Danio rerio: one gene and its partner. The protein of the gene in region 1 purifies or fractionates together with the protein of each later gene. This does not show direct contact. Links are inferred from orthologs where the notes say so. Each region holds a gene or a part of one and is shown in the gene's direction. Other genes may lie near its edges. The genes, in order: bach2b and mafk.

Evidence for each region.
Region 2: the proteins of bach2b (region 1) and mafk purify together in Homo sapiens (co-immunoprecipitation; 3 studies listed by BioGRID and IntAct, with this or other methods). This does not show direct contact. The link is inferred for Danio rerio from reciprocal best matches to the Homo sapiens genes BACH2 and MAFK.

The regions. Positions count from the first base shown.
Region 1 is NC_133195.1:26,610,172-26,614,005, reverse strand, and holds part of bach2b (transcription regulator protein BACH2), read left to right. Parts: coding exon 1-825; intron 826-3,834. UniProt on the Homo sapiens protein: Transcriptional regulator that acts as a repressor or activator. Binds to Maf recognition elements (MARE). Plays an important role in coordinating transcription activation and repression by MAFK.
Region 2 is NC_133178.1:42,010,252-42,014,085, reverse strand, and holds part of mafk (transcription factor MafK), read left to right. Parts: intron 1-1,027; 5' UTR 1,028-1,061; coding exon of another isoform or gene 1,062-1,070; coding exon 1,071-1,106; intron 1,107-3,540; coding exon 3,541-3,834. UniProt on the Homo sapiens protein: Since they lack a putative transactivation domain, the small Mafs behave as transcriptional repressors when they dimerize among themselves.

The DNA.
Region 1 (3,834 bases):
GGCAGAAGCAAGTCACCCACCTGCCTACGGGCTCTGTTCAAGAAGGACCTGCCCAGCACACCCCAGCAGCTCTTAGCTAACAGACTCATCAACGCCCAGGATAAAGGAACCACTCAGGGAGACCACAAAAAAGACTACAGGCCTTCGCTTGGCAATGAGTTTGGCATGCCTGTGGCGTTCCCCAAAGACACTGATGGTTTCCCGCCAGGGCTTTCGTTGAAGTCGCCTTCCTGCGATGGTGTGTGCAAGCAAGAGGTGGAGCCGGACCGCCGCAGTGTCATCTTCTCCTCAGGGGCCTGTGACCGACTGGGTACACCCACCCACTCCCATCCCAGCGGGAACTCATTGGAGAAGGAGCTCTCAGAACACATGCCAAAGGGATTGTGGGCCGGCGCCAGCCAGTCCCTTCCCAGCTCTCAGACCTACTCCCCTAGTACCACAGCCAGCGACCCGCCCTTGCTTTGCCGCCAAAGGCCCAATACCAGCTGCCCAGTGCCAATTAAGGTATGCCCACGATCGCCCCCTTCAGAGACCCGCACTCGGACCTCCAGTTCCTGTTCGTCCTATTCTTACGCTGAGGACGGAAGCGGGGGGTCCCCCTGCAGCCTGCCGCAGTTTGAGTTTTCACCCTCGCCTTGCCCCAATGTGACGCGGTGTCTCACCTCTGACCAACAAGAGGCAGGTGGTGGGACGGATGCACTATTTGCACGGGTACGGCCCAAGATAAAGTGTGAGCAGTCATATGGAACCAATTCCAGTGATGAGTCAGGGTCCTTTTCGGAGGGGGACAGTGAATCATGTCATGTTCGAGAGCAAGGCCCTGAGGTGAGTCTGTTGAATTTTTTTTCTCTCATTGTGTTTACCAATAATTTTTTCCAGAACCTCACTATGCATTTTCTAGCTTCCATTCATGCAGAAAGCAATTAGATAACGCATGCTCCTTCATGCTATCAGAGACTTCCCTTTTGATCTCTATTTACTTCTTCATTGAATAAAGCTGCTGACTGCTAATAGAGCAATAAACACTGTAATCATTTTCATGACTGAACTGACAGGAACATGAATAGCTGCAATGATATTACTCTGACCTTTTGGAGCAAACTCAATTTGACAATGGATTGCTGTTGTGTATAGTGACAGAGAAGCAGAGAAGTGGATACATATTTTGCAAAAGCTGAGCAATGACTGAAATAAGTAGAAAGCGTTAAAAGGGATCATTCAGTTAAAATCATACAGGCTTTGAATAAACATGAATGTAAGTACTTGTTGACCGCCCGTGATTTCGGACAAACATTCCCTTTGTTCATATCAAAATACGATCAAAACACTGACTCTATATTTCACATTGTCAGTGTTTACATGGTTACTGCCTTTATAGGGCAGTGCATAGTACAATGAAGTTGTGAAAATTAAAGCAAAAAAGGGCAAAAAACAATTACTTAGGAATGGTTTAAAATATATACATTTGTAGATTTATGGAGGCAAAACAGTAATGTTCAATAGGAAATGAATGCTGAATGCAGAATAGGAAATGCCAATATGTTGCTCGCATACCAGAGCACTATAAGGGGGTGCATATCTGTTCTGTGATTGGTTAATACAAAGCAAGCTACTTTGTTTAGTTTTTTCAGCAGGGACTACTGCAATAATTACACTACTAATATTACCAACTATCTTCAATTTAAATGAATGTTATTCTTTAGAGTTGACTAATCTGTTTAAAAAATACAAGAAAAAATTTGAATGGCACCGTCCATGAAATATCAAGTAGTGCAAATTAATTTTTATATATATATTTATTTACTTGTTTGTTTGTCTTTCTTTTTTAGGTCACATAATATATAATTCTTTTGACATACAACAAACACAGCAAAATTGTATATACTATATATATATATGAGCAATTCCGTGCAAATGTCAACCTTGCCATGAAAATTGTTTTCGTTTTTACCAAAATACGGAAACCATTTCTGGGTTTTTTGTGTAAGCAAGTATTTTACAGTACTTTAAAAATACTCAAAAATGCATCTGTCAATGTTTTCAAACTATTCTATTTGATTTACCAAAGTCACACAAATGGTAATTTCAGATGCGTCACATCCATAACAGAGAGATGTCACATCCATAACGACACTTTCCTCAGAAATGTGAAAATATTAAATAAAATAAAACCAAGCAATTTTGTTTTATAGAGAGCCGACTCTAATCTTTTTGATTAGCATTATTTCTTTTGGGTTGTGCAGTTTAAGTCACATAATTTCTACAAAGTGTGTTGTATACTGTAAACTCGCAGACTTTTTTTGTCACATCCATAACGCATGCTTATTTTCCTCATTTAAAGTACAAAACACGTTTACAGATTGATATTTTTCTGCTTCCATAACTCTGTGGCTAGTTGCTTTAGAAATATAATTAAATTTTTCAATATAATGTTAACATATACTTTCTCTGTCAATTTATGTGTTGAGTTTTTACTGCAAATGTCACATCCATAACGCTGGAATTGCTCATATATATATATATATATATATATATATATATATATATATATATATATATATATATATATATATATATATATAAATCAAGCGAAGAGAAAATGGTAGTTATCTATTTATTACTAATAATTATAATTTAACAATGAAAAGTAAGACATTATTTAAAGAAAGCTTAAATGTACTGATTTAGTATAAAGAGAAAGAATCAATAAGCATATATAAGAATGAAGTTGCATAGAGGATGTTGTCTGATCTGAGTTGTATAAGATTTCCCCAGGGATGCTGTGTATTTTTAAAAAGCAAAGCACTATAAAGGAGAGATCATCTTTAGAGATGAGGATGAGACCTTCAGGAAAGCATGTTGGGAACATCATGGAGAAACTGGTCCGTTGCCATGGTAACACTCGAGAACGAATAGCCAGTTGAGTTTAGGTATGTGCTTTAGATGTAATAATAGCTGGTATGCAAGCTGTTGTAAGTGGGAAATAGTCCCTATACTAAAGTATTTTAAGAACTGATTATGACTACATACTTCAAGGAATAGAAAGTTCAAAATAAAAGCATTACAATTACAATACAAATTTTACATAAAAACTTATAATAAATATCTCCACTGCTTTTTGATCAACTTAAAGGTGCAGTAGGTGATTGTCTTCAGAAACATTTTTTGTTGTGCTGGTTTAAAGTCTCTTCACAGTCCAATAGTAATGATTAAAGTAAGTGATTTAAATATGTTTATATGTATTTTTATATTCGGGGTAAGGCATAAAAATGTTCATCCAATTAAATATTATCAGGCCGACATCTCCCATAATTCCGATAAGTAGCTCAAACTATCTGTCAGCAAATGTAGATTCGGACTTCTGCGCATCTGTTCACGCAGATCCGCCATTTGCGCGTACCCACCTGCATGAGTGCCACGCGTTCACGAGACTATCACAGACGCGGTGAAATCAAATGCTAAATTAAAACTTTTGAAAATCCTGAATCAATATTGGAGTTACTTTTGCACGCTGGAGGAAGAACGACACCATAGCTGAAATATTACTGTTAGACAGGTATGTTCTGTTTTAAAACTATTTTAGTCAGACTAAGCTTATGTTAGATTGTGTTGTGTTATGAATGGCTTATATGCACAGACATGTTGTTTAGCCACTGAAATCTCCCCGTGAAAGATTGATGTGACTATTTTCTGCTTTATAAGGGAAATTTGACAGCATCGATTATGTAGATTTTTATTTAGTTTAACAACAAAACATCAGTAAACAGTGCTGTTCCACGTAGTCTGCTTTACTGAGGTAAAGTTGCTTTTATATTCACATTTGTTCATTTTTGA
Region 2 (3,834 bases), on another chromosome or scaffold:
TCTGTTCAGCGAAATATTTGACTGCATGTCACTGCATCCCAAACGACTTAAACGATATAGCTAAAGAAATCTCCACTGTGCTGTGCGAAAGCGCTTACTGAACTGCGCATCGTCGATGATGTAAGCATGCTCAGGCCCGAATGTAATGTGAGTGCGGACCATCGGGGGAGACGGGAAGGGGGACAAACATGCTTTGGCCCAGTTCAAAGCAACTGTACATATGGTGAATGTGTGTGTGGATGATTCCCAGAGATGGGTTGCGGCTGGAAGGGCATCCGCTGCGTAAAAACTTGCTGGATAAGTTGGCGGTTCATTCTGCTGTGGCGACCACGGATTAATAAATGGACTAAGCCGACAAGAAAATGAATGAATAGATAGATAGATAGACAGACAGACAGGCAGACAGACAAACGGCTAGACAGACATGTTATTTCCTTTTGAATATCTATTATTATTTTTTTTGTTTGTTTCTCCCTTGTGCGTCGAGCTTATGAATGAAGCTTGTTTACCATTTTCTGGTCACGTGACACTCACTCCCACACCCTTTGAAGCGCGTCTCCATGGCTGCAGTCATGAGCAGAGTTCAGTTCACGCGCTCAGACGCTCCTGAAATGGAGCCCGCAAAAGCGCGTGTCTCGAGCTCAAACGCACACAGTGGACTCTTTTAAAAATAGCACAGTGGCCAAAATAGCCTCGCTTGAACCGCTAAGCAGAAAGATCAGACAAAGCCTCATGCCGAGCGCTGACCTGCTTCTATTATTGCCCTCCTGTAACGGTCTAGTGAGCCGCATCGTGAGAACGCGAGATCAGCAAGTAAACAGGGCAACCCTTGTCTGGCTGAGGTTGTGCAGTACTATACTGACCTCTGCTGCTCACTATAGGACACTTCATTCAACTCAGCAGTTTCATTGGAATGTTCTAACTAGTGCATTCACACAAAAGTGTTTCTCCGATTTTGTTAATTTTTTATTGCACATATAAGTGTTACATTTGATATATTTATTACGTTATTTTCTCTTTCTTTTAGACAGATTTTTGAAGAGTTCTGACAAGCTGCTTGTATGCAGGGCATGACGACTCATTTTAAAGCAGGCAAAGCTTTAAAGGTAAGAACACTTGTGTGTTGGGAAGATTAGATTTTTCATAAATGTAAGGCCTTAAAGGGTCTAAATTCAAAGCAAATCTTAAATTTATAGAACGATTAAATGTTGCAGATGCAAAGATTAACATATTGTTACAAATATCTACACATCTTTAAATCAACATGCATCTACTTAAGATGTAAAATTAATAAATTGTTTTTTTTTTGCGAAATCTTTTAAAAATCAATTTAGCATAAGACAAGATTTCTAATCACATGCCAATTTGCTTTAAAAGTGTGTCTTAATAACGAATCTAAACATTTACATTTTGAAACGAAATAAAAAGTAATTTAAAGTCATTGTTGTTGTTTTATTTATTTTTGGAAGATAGAATAAAGTTGATCTTAATATTTAGTGTTTATGATACCGCTTATTTTTTAAAAAGTACTTGAGCATATTACCATTTGACAGCATGCTAATATTTAATACATCTAAAATTTACCTTATTAAAACTTTCAGGAACCCGTATGAAATAGCTACTATTGCAATTTAAGCTGAATTTAAGATGCCATTTATTCTTGTGATGGTACAGCTGAATTTTCAGCATTACTCCAGTTTTCCGTGGTACGCAATTCCTCAGAAATTATTCATATTTGCTGATTTGAGGATCAAGTAACATTTTTGAAAGCCTTTGTATAATTAATTGCTTTTTTTGTTAAAATTGTGATCAGGTAATTTTGTTAAGGTACATGGTGATGGGTAAATTTTATGAATTTTTTTTTTTTTTTTACGAACAGAAATTATAAATTAAAAGCATTTATCTGAAAATTGAAATAATTTTTGATGAAATTAATCTTTTATGAATAAAAAAAGTATTATTATTATTATTATTATTTAAAGTGCCATAGAACTGATACATGCTTAAATTGTTCCCTGAACTCTTCATAGAATGTATGTGGCTTAGGTAAGTACAAAATCTCCAGAAAAGTTTTTACAAGTCTATTTAAAACCCTACACTAAACAAAATTAGTTTCCCGTATTTTGTGCTTTGTGTTTTTATTTATAGATCTTTTCCCCACCCTTCTATTTATGCTTTTAAATTGCATGATGAGACTTTGATCTTTCTTCTTACAACTTTTAACCTTTTAAAAAAAGTGACTTTTATTAACATTTTGAATAGTTTAAAGTGATATATTGTCTGGTTTTGTTCTGTTATTTTACATGCTCATTTCTCTCTATATTATTTCTTATACAATATATAACTAAAATGTCAATAAAAGTCACTTTGTAAAACTGTAGAGTTGAATTTTCAGCGCAGAGATCAAGGTCCCATAATGCAATTCACAACCGTAAATAAACAGAAAACACTAATCCCTAAATACGGAAACTGTAAATGAACAGATCTTTTTAAAGCATAGGGATTTGTGCTACAATGAAAAGCTCAGTTTTCCCTTATTTGGAAAGATTATGAACATTAAAATATTCAGAATAAACTTATAATCTGATTTTACTCTATTGAGACTGTTGCATTAACTTACCCCAGAGCTAACGTCTGTCCCATTTTCAAAATATGAGTCCAACATAAGTTGTTTTAAACTGAGAACATAAGAAAACATTTCTATCTCACTAGGAAATGTTGTGTCCAATCAAAGGCTGCTGGGGTGCATATTGATTATCCCACATGTAACATCACAGTCTGTTATGTTCAGATTCACGTGTGGTCTTTTAGTCAAGTAAAATGTTTATGAGAAGAAGGAAACAGTGGTGTTTGACTCTTGTGGTTTGAATTATAATTCAACCATGCATATGCAATTTTTTTTCATTCTATGGAAGAGATTTCTGAGATTTAAAATTCTTAGCATGTTGATGTACTTGCGACTGAAACAGAATATTGAAAAAGGGCCAGAGCTGTCTTTTTACACATCATTCCCTTATAGCAAACTAAAGATAAAAGGGGCATGGTTAAGAATTTTGTGACTGAAGCCATCAAACTGACGTCAATAGACCCAAAGACCACCACTACAAACATGGATCAGGGTGGGGCCAAGCTGGAGCGCACGCTCTGATCCCCCTGGCTCTGCAATGGTTTGGGAAATTAGAAATTGAACCGAAAACAAACAATTACAGATGGCCTAAGATTGACAATGCAAATTTGGGAAATGTAACCAGCAGAAACTGGGAATTAAAAAAAAAACCGCATGGAATGGTCAGACTTTGATTAATGATTACCAAAACAAACATTTTTTTTCTCAATGAAATAACTTGCAGTTATTAGTTTAATCACCTAAACAATAACAGTGTATGCTAGCAATATAAACATTGTACTTTTTGATTGCTCATGTACAACTTTCCAAACTTTGTAAATTTACAGATTCCTAATTTTTTTTTTACATTTGACTTGATTATGAAAACTTTATCAAGCACAGTCTCTAATGTCTGTTTCTGTGCTATATTTCAGGTAAAGAAGGAGGCAGGTGAGAATGCTCCGGCGCTCAGCGACGATGAGCTGGTGGCCATGTCTGTGCGGGAGCTCAACCAGCACCTGCGCGGCTTGACCAAGGAAGACGTGGTGCGGCTGAAACAGCGGCGGCGCACGCTCAAGAACCGCGGATACGCTGCCAGCTGCCGCATCAAGCGCGTCACGCAGAAGGAGGAGCTTGAGCGGCAAAAGACGGAGCTGCAACACGAAGTGGACAAGCTGGCTCGAGAAAACGCCAGCATGCGACTGGAGCTGGACGCGCTTCGAGCTAAA